Rattus norvegicus: one gene and its partner. The protein of the gene in region 1 interacts with the protein of each later gene in a pairwise test. Links are inferred from orthologs where the notes say so. Each region holds a gene or a part of one and is shown on either strand. Other genes may lie near its edges.

Evidence for each region. The genes of interacting proteins can lie anywhere in the genome.
Region 2: the proteins of Morf4l2 (region 1) and Mrgbp interact in binary tests that used the Homo sapiens proteins (3 or more experiments, as listed by UniProt). The two-hybrid records come from large-scale screens. The link is inferred for Rattus norvegicus from reciprocal best matches to the Homo sapiens genes MORF4L2 and MRGBP.

Annotation. Positions count from the first base shown.
Region 1 is NC_086039.1:104,881,478-104,888,461, reverse strand, and holds the start of Morf4l2 (mortality factor 4-like protein 2), read left to right. Parts: upstream 1-2,515; 5' UTR 2,516-2,585; intron 2,586-3,260; exon of another isoform or gene 3,261-3,420; intron 3,421-4,350; exon of another isoform or gene 4,351-4,803; intron 4,804-4,913; exon of another isoform or gene 4,914-5,101; intron 5,102-6,410; 5' UTR 6,411-6,500; intron 6,501-6,984. UniProt on the Homo sapiens protein: Component of the NuA4 histone acetyltransferase complex which is involved in transcriptional activation of select genes principally by acetylation of nucleosomal histone H4 and H2A.
Region 2 is NC_086021.1:188,071,454-188,078,414, reverse strand, and holds Mrgbp (MRG/MORF4L-binding protein), read right to left. Parts: upstream 3,661-6,961; 5' UTR 3,635-3,660; coding exon 3,487-3,634; intron 3,070-3,486; coding exon 2,948-3,069; intron 2,104-2,947; coding exon 2,022-2,103; coding exon of another isoform or gene 1,713-2,021; coding exon 1,638-1,712; coding exon of another isoform or gene 1,417-1,637; exon of another isoform or gene 1,254-1,416; coding exon 1,066-1,253; 3' UTR 253-1,065; downstream 1-252.

The DNA of each region.
Region 1 (6,984 bases):
GCACTATGCTAGGCCCTTTACATACCTTCTCTCATCTAAATCAGAGTGGCCCAGCAGAGCATTCTGTGATGGTGAAAATGATCTATATCTAAATTTAGACAACAGTTTAGTAACATTATATAGGCAGAACAACCAACTGCACCGATTTTTTTATCCTAATGAATTTTAACTTAAATAGCCATATATGTTAGCTGGATACTGTATTATACAGGGTGGCTGATAAGAACATGAAATGTTTGTTTCCATGTAATAGGTGGTGACACTAAAGTTTAGAAAATTTAGGAGAACTTGTTTTAAGAAATAATTTAAATTTTAACTTTGAAATCTGAAACACTTCTGTTTTCAAGCACATAGTTATTCTACACAGCACCACAATGTGGTGTGTCATAGTACTTGGTCAGCCTCACTCAAGGTTGAATTCCTTGAATTGGTACTAACAGTGCTCAATGAGCCAAAATCCTGCCACTGGAATGGCTTAGAGGAGGGAGCCTGAAGAGTACATGTCTGGTGTCAGGTTGAAAACTGGTCAAAATAGAACAGAGAAACTTTTCCACATTTCCTCTTGGATCAAAAGCATCAATATCTCACAAATAAAAAAATAAGAAAAATCACTTAAATAGGATGTAAACCAGAGAACTTGAAAGCTCAATACTAGAATCCCAAATGCCATGAATGATCTAGTAATTCAGTAAAAGTATTCATTTATTACTTGTAAATTACATATGAATGAAAATAACTGGTAAGTTATTCTAGTAAGAACTCGCTGTCACCACTATAAAATGATGCAGTCACCTAAGTTATAAGCTATAACTTAGTGTATATAAGCTATATATAAGCTATAAGTTATTAGTGGGACTAGAGTGTATAAAGCAATAGAGTAACTCATAAATGAGTTTTCAAAACTGTGTTTATCATACATAAAACATATGACATGCACCAAAAAATGGTAACTACAGAATAGAAAGAGCACTGAGAGATAAGAAATAAAGAGACTACTCCTGAGCTTTTGTGTGATGCCCTATTACAGAATGGAGAAGAGACAACATATGAAAAGCATCAAGCTATTTTTCCATATTTGATTTGCTTTCCTAATGGTGTTTTTAATGGTTCAGTCAACAGTAGTCAAAGTGGGAAACAATATATAACGTATAGTTTCAGACTCTGAAAGAGGAATACTAATGGTGACACTTAATGTGCAATTTCTTAATCAGCAAAACAAGACAGATACAATGCAGGGTATATCGCAAAATATTTTGCTACACGTTCTATGGCACCCTCTAGTGGTGTCCAAAAACGAGTGTTGAATTGTAGCCCTCCAAAGCAGTGGTTCTCCAATTTTAGAGTGCATTGGATTTACTAGAACAATTTGTAGTGGATGGCCAAGCTCCATCCAGAAAACCTTTGATTTGTGAGACATAAAGCAGGGCCTATGAATCTAATATTCTGATAACTTACCGAGTTTTACTGATGCTTCTGATTTTTGGAGAACCGCTCTAAAAAACCTTTCCCCTTTGCAGCTGAAGACGTGGCTCAGCCATTAAGACCACTTGCTGCTCTACCAGAAGACCCGAGTTAGGTTCCCAGCATCCATGTCAGGTGTCTCAGAACAGCCAGTAATCCCAGCTCCGGAGGATCCAGTGCCTCTGACTTCTGAACACATACACATGTGTAGAAATACCTAATTAAAAACAGTAAAATTAAAATCTTTTAAAAAACCTTCACCCTCGGGTGGATAAATACATATAATTAGTGCCTGAAACCTATTTTTGGCTGATTATAATGTAGTACAATTCTGTTAAGAAAAAGAAATACCTATGGGAAGGAATTTAATACATCTGAAATATAGAAAATATTAAAAAAAAAATCGATGGTCTGACTGGGGAGATGTCCGGGGAGGGGTAAATGTCTGCTGCTCAAACAGGAGGGCCTAAGTTCAGTTCCCCAGCATATATATAAAAGCTGAACACAGGGCACTGATCTATAACCCCAGTGTTTTAAGGGGGGCTGTTGGTAGAGACAGGCAGATCCTGGGAGTTCAGTGACAAGCCAGAATAGCACATAGAGTAACTCCGAGTTTACTCAGACCCTTCTGTAAAAAAATAAGGCGAACAGCAATAGAGGAAAAGACGTAAAGAAAGGTGAACTTTAGCCCCAAAATGCACAGGCCACACAGGTACATAAATTAAAAAAAACCACACACACCTCAGGGCTATGTTATTATGCGCTCTGAAACCTAAGTGAAATGTTTTACTATTTCCTATCTGACTCTAAAAACACAACCGAGTTTTTCGGAATGTAATGAGAATAGTAAAAAGAAATGCCCTTTGTCTTACAAAAACAGCTTAGTCAGGAGGAGGTCCAGGACACCCAAGGCTGTACCTGATAACCAGCCCCCAATGACATCAGTCACTAAGATAACCAGACACAGGACAAGAATCCCATGACGCCCGCTACACAGCGAGTATATAAGCAGGAAGATCGAGCGCATCGGTCTTTTGCTGCACACCTGGAGACACACCTTGAGCTGCCCTGCAGCCAGAGAGTCTCCTCGGGCTCCTGCATCGGAGACTAGGCCTGATCTTCAGGTAAGGGCGTCACAAACGTGAGCTCCCTTGGGAAAACTGTAGTTAAGAACCAAGAGTGTTGTGTGATGACTCTCGCCATGATAAAATAGAATTTTTGGTATACTAAGCTTCTACCTACTTGCTTAGGAGGGCACAGAACCATCACATAAAATTGGGGTGTAAACACCCATACCTGATAAGTTTGAAGAGGAAGATAATCCGCAATGCTGAGGTCTAACTTTACCTCCGAGTTACCTTTACAGACTGACTAGAGGAATTGTTAAGTACTGAAAAGCGGGCAAAAAGCAAAAAGAATATTCTTTCATGGATTTATTTATGCAGAGACAGGGTCTCAATATATAATCTATGCGGCCTTTAATCTAGGGCCCTCCTTCTGCTCAAGTGCTCATACAGCTCACAAAGGGTTTTAGCATCAGAATTTAGGCCCATGTATCAATCCTGAGTAAAATCAAAAGGCAAGGGAGAAAGAAATGCAAGAAGAACAGATGACTTTTTCTCTTTAAGGAAATTAACCAAAATATTCAGATATGTAATTCCTTGCCTAGTATTATTACTTCACAGAACTTGATTTTATTCTTAAGAATTTTATATATATATATATATATATATATATATATATATATATATGAGTCATCCAGAGATTACGGATCCTGTAAGAAGTGGGTGGAGCAAAAAATTAAATCTCACAATCCCTGGGAACCCAGCAGTAAATCCTTTGCTGGGATTTGGTGACATCTAGTGGCAGATTCAAGAGGTATAATGCTCATCCAATGAACTTTCTGGAAAACTGACCGAATGTATATTGGATCGCTACGCTTGGAGATTAGGACAAAAGGTAGGTGAGGCTTAGCATCCACGGGAAATTGGCATAGTCTGTATCACTGGGGAATTTTTTTTTTTTTTGGTTCTTTTTTTTTTTTTTCCGGAGCTGGGGACCGAACCCAGGGCCTTGCGCTTCCTAGGCAAGCGCTCTACCACTGAGCTAAATCCCCAACCCCTGGGGAATTTAATTGTCTTTGTTTTCGTTAGAATTATTTCTACCAATTTAGCAATAAACTTGGTGGGGGGCAAAAGGGAGGTTCTCAGTAATCTTGGTGAGGGGCAAAGGTGAGGCCTTGGAGACAGAGAGGGCGGGGTGTACACTTGGAAACTTAAAAGAAACGCCCTTTTACGTTACTAATATAGTTTTGAATGCTCACCATGGAAGAAGTTTATTTTGTTGGACTAAATTGTGGGAATAATAAGCATCTTTAGGGTCTAAAATTAAATCAGACTGGGTGGGGTGGCCGATGCTTTCAATGCCAGCGCACGGGAGGCCGTGAAGAGACAGGTGGGTCTCTTGTGTTCCAGGCCTGCCAAGCCTACGTAGCTAGAACAGGCCTCATAAATAAAGAAAATAAAATAAAATAAAATAAAAAAGAAAGAGCGAGCAAAGAAAGATAAAAAGGGGGGATTAAATTAAATCAGCAGGCTTTTCTAACAAAAGGCCTTTACCTCTGTACTAGTACTTTCTTGGGTCTTATTTATTAATGCAGTTTGCAAACATCAAAAGGCAGAAATGCACCAAAATGAGGGACCTCACCTACACACACTCTCAGGGCCCCTCCCGCCACCGCGAGAGCTTGCACGCCTGCGCACACCCATCATCCCCGGCGCCACGAGGGCGGCTGTTCGCCCACACCCACACTCCACAGCCACGCGAGCGTGCCCGCGCGCATACACCCCAGTTCTCAAGGCATCCGGGCATCCGCCCGATGGCACTCACCACCCTCACACGCATACACCTCAAAACCTTCATTTTTCCTTTTGGTTTGGTTGGGTTTTTTTTTTTTCTCCCGTTCTGAGGGTTGCGCAACAGGCTCGGGGGCGTGGCGCTGGTTTGACCTCGCTCTTCCCACTCCCGGGAACCTTAGCTCATTTCCGCCTATCCTATTTCCGCAGGCCACGTCGGCACTTCCTTTCCCTGTGGTGCGGGGGCGGGGGAGGGGGAACGGACCCACAAACCCATAATGCCTCCCTGCAGGAGAGAAGGAGAGCGCGAGGGAAAGAAGGTGGGGGAAAAAAAAAAAACCCACGGCCAGGGGAACTCTGGGTCGTGAAAACGGGCCACGTGAACACGCTGCCCTATAGACTTCTGACCCAACGGCTGTAGCGCACTTGGAGGGCGGGCTAAGAACCTAAAAGGGCGACCGTCATTGGTCGGAGCCCGCACTGAAGAAGGACGCTCATTGGTTTGATTTGGGCCCTAACCATGAAGAAGCAGGTTGCTAGCACCCGCCTTTACTGCGGCGGAGTGTCACTGCTGACGTGGGGGCGGTGGTCCAATCATTTGGGTATGGAACATTCTAAAACTTAGACAAGATGGCTAGGATTGGCTGAAGGGCTAAGCCCGCCTCCAGGGTGACGTGTCTGCCTATGGATATCAGTTGCCAGAGAAACCTGGCTTTACTATGGCGGTTGGAGGAGCAGCGGTGGTCACACGTCGGCTGCTGGAAAGAACTGGATTCTCGTTTCAGGTTTCGGGGTGGGGGTGGGGAGGAAGGGTCGATGATTTCCTCTTTCCTTCTTGACTTGTAGATAGGATTAACTAGTGCCTTCACATTCAAGCAAAACTGGATGCGTATTCCTGCTCGCCAACGCCCAACTTGGGCAAGGCTCCTTTCTGTGTCTCGGTTTCCATGTTTGTAAAATGGTGATAATAGTAGCTATCTCGGTCGCGGATTCAGATGTGCCTAGTAAAATAGTGCGTGTAAGGCATTCGACGTGAAGCCTGTCTCCGAAAGACAGGAACAATTGTTACTAAAGATAGATATTTCTGAGGAAGAAAAATTTTAAATGACGCAAATTTGCTTGATATCATATCTTTTTCTGTACATCATCCTCTTTCTTCGAAGAAATTATGACGATAGGCATTTATTAAGCCTTACCAATAAAATAATTTGATAGCCCAGAATTACCTCAGAATGGCTGGGGGTCGGAATTTTCCCACATTAAGTCAAAAAGAGAAAGGTAGGGGGACGCGAACGAAAACGAGCTACTTATGAAGCACATGCGAGGAGTAGGCCTTGTTTGAATCCTAATTCGAGCAAACCAATTGTAAAATTTTCTTTAAGACGCATCGGGAATTTTTAAATGCAGGATTAATATTCTTCAATGAAATCAGTGCCAGATTATTTTTTAGAAGCTTATGGTGACGATGTGGTTGTGTTTTTAGATTGCTCTATTTTGTGGAAATAAATATAAATGCTTAGGGATTAAATAATGTCAAAATGGCTTCAAAATACGTGGATGACTAGGATTTGCTTCAGAATAATTTCAGCGGTAGAGAGAGAGATGGGAGGGGTATAATTGGGACCCTAGATTAATAATTGTTTAAACTGAGGGGTGGGCAGATGGGGTTTCTTGTATTTGTCTTTTTCCCATGGTATATATTTGAAATTTTTCTGAATTCTGAAGTCATTTTTTTCGATAGCTTAAAAAAACGTGTGGGGGGGAGCAGTGGGTGGGGTTACAGATGAAACAAGATGGCCTTCAGTTGGTAATTGTTGGAGCTGGATGATGGATTCGCATCCGCTTGTACTGCTCTTCTTTTACAATTTTTTTATTTCACATTATCCTTAATAGAAATTAGTTATTTTTTTTCTAAAATTGATAAACATGCAATAAAGTACATTTATTTGAAAATAAAACCACAAGAAAATAAAATTTGTACATTATTAGCTTTGATGCTCTTTGTGTGAGATAAAATTGTATTTACTGATGGAAAAGAAAATCACCATCTCATATTTTTTTTGTCCTTTTCCATCTCTTTGTTTGACCTTCTAGGTCATCATCAGAAAAGCTAAGTTTGCTATACAGTAAGGATCAGGAGATCTGACCCTGGTTGCAGAACCATTCCTGGTTGCAGAATACAGGGTAAGTGCCTTCCTTCTGGCCTCGTTTCACAAACCAGCTACATCACATAACATTTTTAGATGTGTAGGAATATTTTGAAGATTAATAAGCTGCCATCTGAGAAAGTATGCTATATTCTGAAAGGGGAAGAATAAACAATATAGGCATGTGTAATCCTAGTCTCTTCATTAAAAATTAGTGCTATGTGAAGGCTTCACAGATTCAAATATTACATTATTTTTCTTGAGAACAAATATGGACTTGATGGATTTGATTACTGGCTCTGCCACTTTCTGTGTAATCATGAGCAAAAAAAACTTCCTTTGTTCCAAAATGTCCTCATAAAAGTATTTAAGTATTTTCTATAGTAATACTTAATTTGGCTTTAATACTCATGAAACATTTTATGTATGTATGTAAGCACATTTTTGTAAAGTAATGAATATAATTTTCTTGGAATTATTTTTTTAATTAATATTGTTGGTTTCTTTCATTTTTCCAGAAG
Region 2 (6,961 bases), on another chromosome or scaffold:
CACTGTGCTCATCCACCCAACAGCTGGACTTGGCTATGGAGGATAATAGGTAGCGGCCAGGTAGGCAGGAGTTGGGGGTGGGTGTCCTAAGAGTCTCTGATGAAGGCTCATAACCTTACTGCATCCAGCGATGCCAAGAAGTCATCTTAAGTGTACCCTATGGTTATGAGTTCTAGAGTGGGGGACCCTTTCCTCTGTAGGAAGAATTTAAAAACCAACTTGTTTTAGTAGCAAATCACACAACTCCCAAGATAGTTTTTTAATGCTTTAATATCCTGCAAATGAAAATGTGCTTCAGCCATCAGGCCACTGGCTTTTCAGCCTGATGGCTGTTCCTTTGTTCCACCCCCTTATTTGGTCTTTTCCAAGTTACTAAAATTACAAAAATAACCGCTAAAAATTCTCTGTATCTGGCATATAAAAACAGCCAGACGTATCTCAGTAGTTACCTTAAAACAAAACAGCTCAAAAAAACACATCACAGGTTTAACTTCTGCAGTATTTTTCTTCATACAAAACACTAGTAAAATAGGCTTCTTAAAAATTAAATAGTGAAATACCAACTAAATTATATACACTATTACAGTACAAGTGAATGAGGCAAAATATCCAGTTCTATTTCCCAGATGGGGGAGGCCTTCTGTGCACAGTGTGTGCTGTGTGAACTCCAAAGACACCTTCTCTGGATGCCAGTGCACAATGGAGTCTTACAGGAAAAGCAGATGCAAAGACTGGGCACCCAGGGAGGATGCCTGGCTCCTGAGGACAGTGAGGGTGACGTCTTATTGCTTGCTGACTCTTGGTCCTCTGGCCCACGCACCTGCTCTTCTCCACACACTGTGGGCATAAGGGAACTGACCAGGAGAAAGCAAGAGGCTGGCTCAGAGGCTTCACCATCCAGCAGAGTGGACACCGGTCTTGCTGGCCTTTTGGACCAATCAAGTGCTCTGGAGGTCTGATGACACAGCGGAAGCCCCACTAGCATCTCTGCTGGATGGCCACATTCACCCAGGGACCTGAGGACAGGCAGCTGGAGCATCTCTTGGCCACCTGGGGCTGAGGTGTCTATGTGCGGCGCCTCTTGGCAGCACTGGGGCTGGAGGGATTGCTGTTGGCAGTCAGGACCTTGTCAGTGACCCGGCTGCGCTTCCGCTTGTCTGCCCCTTCTTTGCACCCCAAGTCTGAGGAGTTCTTCTCTTTGTCTTTGCTGGATTTTTCTAATGCTTTCCCCAAGCTCCCTGAAGATGAAAAAACTGGGAAACAAAATCATTTGGCTGAAAACAGAATATCCAGAAACTCATCTCATTTTCCTCTTCAGCTAGAGAAACCAGGCGTTCGGACCCAGTATGTTCCCCGGGTAAGTGCCCTGTACAGCTGGGCTCGAAGAGAAACCGAGTCTCTCAGGGGGTCTCCTGTCTAAGCCCACCCAATGCCCCCAGCCTTGGCCTCGGCCCCTTCCTCATGGCTCTCAGAGGCCCCCAGCCTTGGCCTCGGCCCCTTCCTCATGGCTCTCAGAGGCCCTCCCACACTGAGTTCATCTGAAAGGGATGCTTCGCTCCTGACTCTCAGCTTCCTGACCTCACTCTGCCTGAGGCTGGCCCGTGGTGGTGACGGCTCCAGAAGGCACTTCCACTCACCGTCATCAGCCCCACTGTGGGGGTCCACATCCTCCTTCATCTCCTCCTTCATTTCTTCTTCAATGACCACTTTTCCTGTGGAGGAGACAGCTGCCGTTCACTGGAAACCCACGGTGGTGGCCAGCGCTGGGGGACGGTCTGGCCAGGACTGCTTCCGACTCTCGCTGCCCACACAGGCCTCGGCGTCCATCGTAAGACGGCATCCATCAGGAGACTGCCTTTGAGCACCGCTCGCCCCAGCCCTCGGCTCCCCAAACCTCCCAGGCGCCACTGGAGGCGTGGTCTGAGCAGGGTCCTTACACCTCCCTGGAGGCCCCAGACCTCCCCACCTTTGGCCTGGTGAGGCTTTTTTTATTCCCAGCCCTGGTGGTGGCTGAGTCTCACCTTCTCGGACTTCCTGAATGATCTCATCGGGAAGGACAAAGTTCCTCTCTGGATTTGGGAATGGCAGAATCTCAGACTCGTGCTGCCGGCACAAAGCGTTTTGTATTTTCAAGAAACAGAAAACAGGGTCTCCGCTCACTAAGCTGTACGGAGGAGCAGGCTGGAGGCTGCGAGCTGGTGGGGCTCCTTGCTCCAGCTTGCAGAGTCCACCTCAGCTGGGCTTCTCAGATGACTAGGGAGGGCCAGGCTAGCACCAGCCAAACCAAACCAGAGGAGAGGACCAGGTTCATGCCACCGAGAGAGCCCTGGAGTCATAGCAGCTCCCCTGATGTGCTCACAAGGACCTGACCTGTTCACCATTGTAACACTCCCACCAGGACAATGTATCCAGGGGCGCCATGACCAACCACAGGCCCCTACAGCCCCACCCATCCTGGTTACGTAGTCTCACTGCCTGCCAGACACTGCAGACAAACCTGACTAGCAAGGTTACTAGTTACCTACACACGAGTCAGACACTGCCAGCTCTCCAAACCAGTTACCTAGCTACCCTCTCTGCTCTCAGAAGAGGAACAGTCTAGCTCCCACAGTATACAGATTCTCAAAGGACCCCAATACCGACACTGCACCCTATTACTGCCTTTTACGGTGGCTGAGGCTTCTCTATCATCTCAGCGCCCAACTATCTCCTTGACACTTTGTGCCACCAATCTAAAGTAGGTGTCCTGAGAAAGTGGTTAGTGAATCCCTAGTTTGTGCTTTTCAAGGCAGGATTGAGGAAGGAGCCTCATCTTTTGAGATCTTTGCATACCAAACCCCAAGTGAGAAGAGGGCTCTGTCCTGTACCACAGAGGACTCTGGGAAGGCAGCATCCGGGACTTGACTCCACCTTCAGCCCCCAAATGAGTGGGCCAGGGTCCACTCACCAGTGCCTGCATGTCGTACATAGTGCTCAAATGGTCCCAGATCACCTTGGATGGAACCTGGCGCCCAATATTCTGGCTGAACTTGTCTCGGATACAAATCATGTGGAAGTGTCGATTCACCCCTGAGAGGCAGGACAGTGGGTTGAGGGTTAGGATAGCACCTCTGTGCAGAGGACATGGGTGTAGGAGGGGCAGGAGTGTGCAAACCACAGGTGCAAGTGTTGCAGGAGTCAAGTGTCAAAGGGGACGAAGGGTGCCACAAGGCAGGTGGTTAGGGTGTATAGTAGGCGGGTCCTGGGCAGAGGGGCTGCAGAGGCGGGGAGAATGGAGGCGTTCCCTGGGGTAGGACTGTCTCAAGGGCAGGGAAGTCAGGAGTGTCCCCTGGGAGAGGGCTTCTCGGGAAGGAAAGTCATGGTCTCTTGGACTAACAGGGCACCCCAGAGTGGGAGGTCCCGCCCGTGCGGGGTCGCAGGCTCCGCCAGCCCGCCCGACGGTTTATCCCGCCCCACCCCCACGCCGGTGCGCGGCGCGGCGCTCACCGACAGGCTTGTGGCCCAGCATGGCGTGGAAGAGGCACACTTCCACTTCAGGGCTCCACACCACCGTCTCCTCAGCAGGGCTCGGGGCTGCCTCGCCTGGGCCCTTATCGCCTGGGGCGCCCGTGCCGCCTACCTCGGCCTCCCCCATGGCCGCCGGCGAGCGACGAGCGCCCGGCGCGAGAAAGGCTACTACAGGCTCCGCGCAGGCGCACTTGGTGTGGAGGGCGCGCACTCGCAGGGCTCGGGAACGCCGCGTGCCCGGGTCCGCGCAGGCGCAACGAAGGCTGGCTTCCGGTGCAGCAGCGACTCCTGGTGGTTGGCCCTTTTACTGCCTACGACTCTGTCCCGAGAGGAGCAGGAACAAACCTCATGCTTTAAAAATGCACCAGCTGGGCCTTCAGAGAGGGAGAGGCGAGCGGATCTCTCTGAGTTCTGAGTCAGCCAATTCGGCATAGCATGACACACACGGCCCAAAAAAAATCTGGGCTTCACCTGAGTAGATAACTTGGAAAAGACTCAGGCTGCACAGCTAGAAGTGTGTCTCCCTTTGCCAGTGATAAATTGTGCAGTATGTAAATTACACATCACGAAAACTGTTTAAGAAAAAATAGCTAAAAAACAACAAACAAACAAACAAAAAACCCAGGGGCTAGTGAGATGGTCCGTCCATAGAGATTCTTGTGCACAGACTTGGTAACTGGAGCTCCACCCCTGGATCCTAGAGGGGGCAGGAGAGAAGCAATTCTTAAGAGTTCTACTCTAGGGCTGGAGAGATGGCTTGGCAGAATGATAACTGCTCTTTCAGAGGTCCTGAGTTCAATTCCCCGCAACCACATGGTGGCTCACGACCATCTAGACCATCTATAATGGAATCTGATGCCCTCTTCTGGTGTGTCTGAAGATAGCTACAGTGTATTCATATAAATAAGTTTTTTTTTAAGTTGTATCTAACCTTTATATGTATACCATGGTATACTCACACTTTTGCACGCATGCGCGCGCGCGCGCGCACGCACGCGCACACACACACACACACACACACACACACACACCATAATTAAAGACTTTAAAACCCAACAACCACATTTAGTAGCCCTGGCCTGGGTGCAAATGACAGTTTCAGAATTAAGTGCTTCATTGGCATCAAAAGACAGAAACCTGGGCCCTGTTGGCCTTACCACCCCCATCTTGTCCCTACAGTGGAGGCTGTCAGAATTTCAGGCAGGTGTTAGTATCTCTACATGGGATTGGGTAGGGTCAAGTGCTAGGCACAGCAGCCTTAAGAACATGGTCCCTACTGGTCTGAGTCACCCCAGTCAGCTGTACCATGACCCCTACCCTGCCACCCATCCAAGCTTTTTTACTCACCTGACCCTCAGCCACGGGCAGGCATCAGAATCCCTTTCCTGACTGATGTCTCTCAGCTGTGTGACTAAGATGTCAAGAACCTTTGTAAGACCACGTTCTTCTCTGTGCTATGGGGCCACTGTAGCTCTGAACTCTGGGGTATTGATAAGAGCCATCTGCTGGCTACCGCAAGCTTTGAATCCAGTCCTGGCCCTCCACTTGCCCCTCACTCAGGCCTGCAACCAGATAATGCTCACAACAGGGGACTGTGGAGGGTTTCCCTTGTGTAACCCTCAGCCTCATCCATTCTAGCCAGTTCTCTCTGTTCTGTGTGACCTCTGTACACGGCAGTTTGCAAACATCTGTCCGTCATTTCAGAGATCTCTTGGGAACGTGTGGCTGGCAATCAGACTTGATCCCTATGGACAGGTTAGATGGTATAGGAGAGAAGAATGGCTTCATTCTTTCCACGAAGCCACAGCCCGTTTCTCTGCCAGGTAATAGGAAGTGTCTGAGCACGGAGGTCAGGAGCTAAGACTCTGCTCACTATCTCATGCCAACTGTAGCATGACACTGTTCATTTTCACGAGCATGTAGGCTCTACAGTCCAAACCCACGAATTAAGAGGAAGCTGTGCTTGTTCATTTTGTAGCTCTCCTGCGACTGTCGCTCTCTAACAAGGAGCTGTAGAGAAACCACTGGCCCATGATCATGTGTGTGCTCCTGCAGCTTCAAACTGAATTCACACCTGCTGGGAGCTGAGAGATTCCTTCAAACCTGACAGAAGGGTTTCTTTGGCCTGGGGCAGGTGTCTGTGAGGCACACCACCAACTTGTTGTAGAAGTCGCTGGTGACGTTTACTCAGATCTGTCTTCTCTGTGAGGTCTTCAGGTTGGTTCCAGGCGGCCAGGATAGGATTGGCTTCGCAGCAAGGTTTCCTACTTCCCAGATACAAAGTGGACAGTGATATCCAGTAGCCAACTGGTCAACTCTTTCCTCATTTGCTGGGACTTCTGCTGCATGAGTCTTTTATACAAGATGGATACGAGTGCTAGGATTCTTGATCCCAGGGTGAAGAGTTCAGACTGGGCCCCAGTGAAAAGTAAAGGCTCTAGAAAGGCTGTCCCTCATTTAACGGATACACAAGCCTTATCGTTTACTTTGGCCAGTATGAACTATTCCCCAGACATTCTCAACCAACTGATATTTCTTTTTATTTACTCAGTTGCTTATTCAGGGTCTTATGTATCCCAGGTTGGCCTCAAACTCACTCTGTAGCCAAAGATTACCTTGAACTCCCATCCCCAGTCCTCCACCTCCTAAGTGCTTGGATAACAGGTATCTGCTAGTACATATGCTGGGGACTGAACCCAGGACTTCATACATGCTAGGGAAGAGCCCTACCAACTGAGGTGCGTCTCCGGCCTCCTAAACAGTATTGCTTGTCTGAGGACCTGATGTCTCGGGAAGGAGATGGTCACTACTAACTAGAAGGAGCCCATTCCCACTCCGGAAGGAACATTTAGCTCTTGGTCACAAGAACTGGATCCAATGGGAGGCGTATTTGTAAAGGCTCTGGTTAGGTGCCATCCTGAGACCTTTGGTCACATTGTCTCTTTGCAGACTGCATCTCTGAAGTGGTGAAATTTCCCACAGTGTGACTGGCCCCACGTTGCTCCCTTAGCACGTGTGGGAGACCGAGGGCTCTGGACAACAAGTTCTGCTTTGGAGTCAGTCAGCCTGCTGTGGATCCTGTTCAACTGTGTTCACCCGATGGGAACAGGCCATCCTCCGGACAACATCCGAACACCGAGAACAGCTCTGCTGTCTTCTCCTGTGGGCTGTGGAGCATTAGAAACTGGGAGCCTAGAACTAAGCAGCTGTCAGGCAGGACCCTTGGGTTTCCAATTCAGGTACAGTATTTCCCTACAAGGATTGCGGCTAGGTTGGACACCCATGCCCTGACTAACATAGCTTAGCTCCACCCCCTCTGCCTTCCTGTTTATGGTAAGTTGGTGTGATTAAGGACCTAGGTGATTATCTCCATTTTCCTTAAGGCTGCTTGTTGTCTTCTAAAGTTATGGGCTTCGCTGGACCTACAAAGGCCTCCGGGTGAGGACCTGCTGCA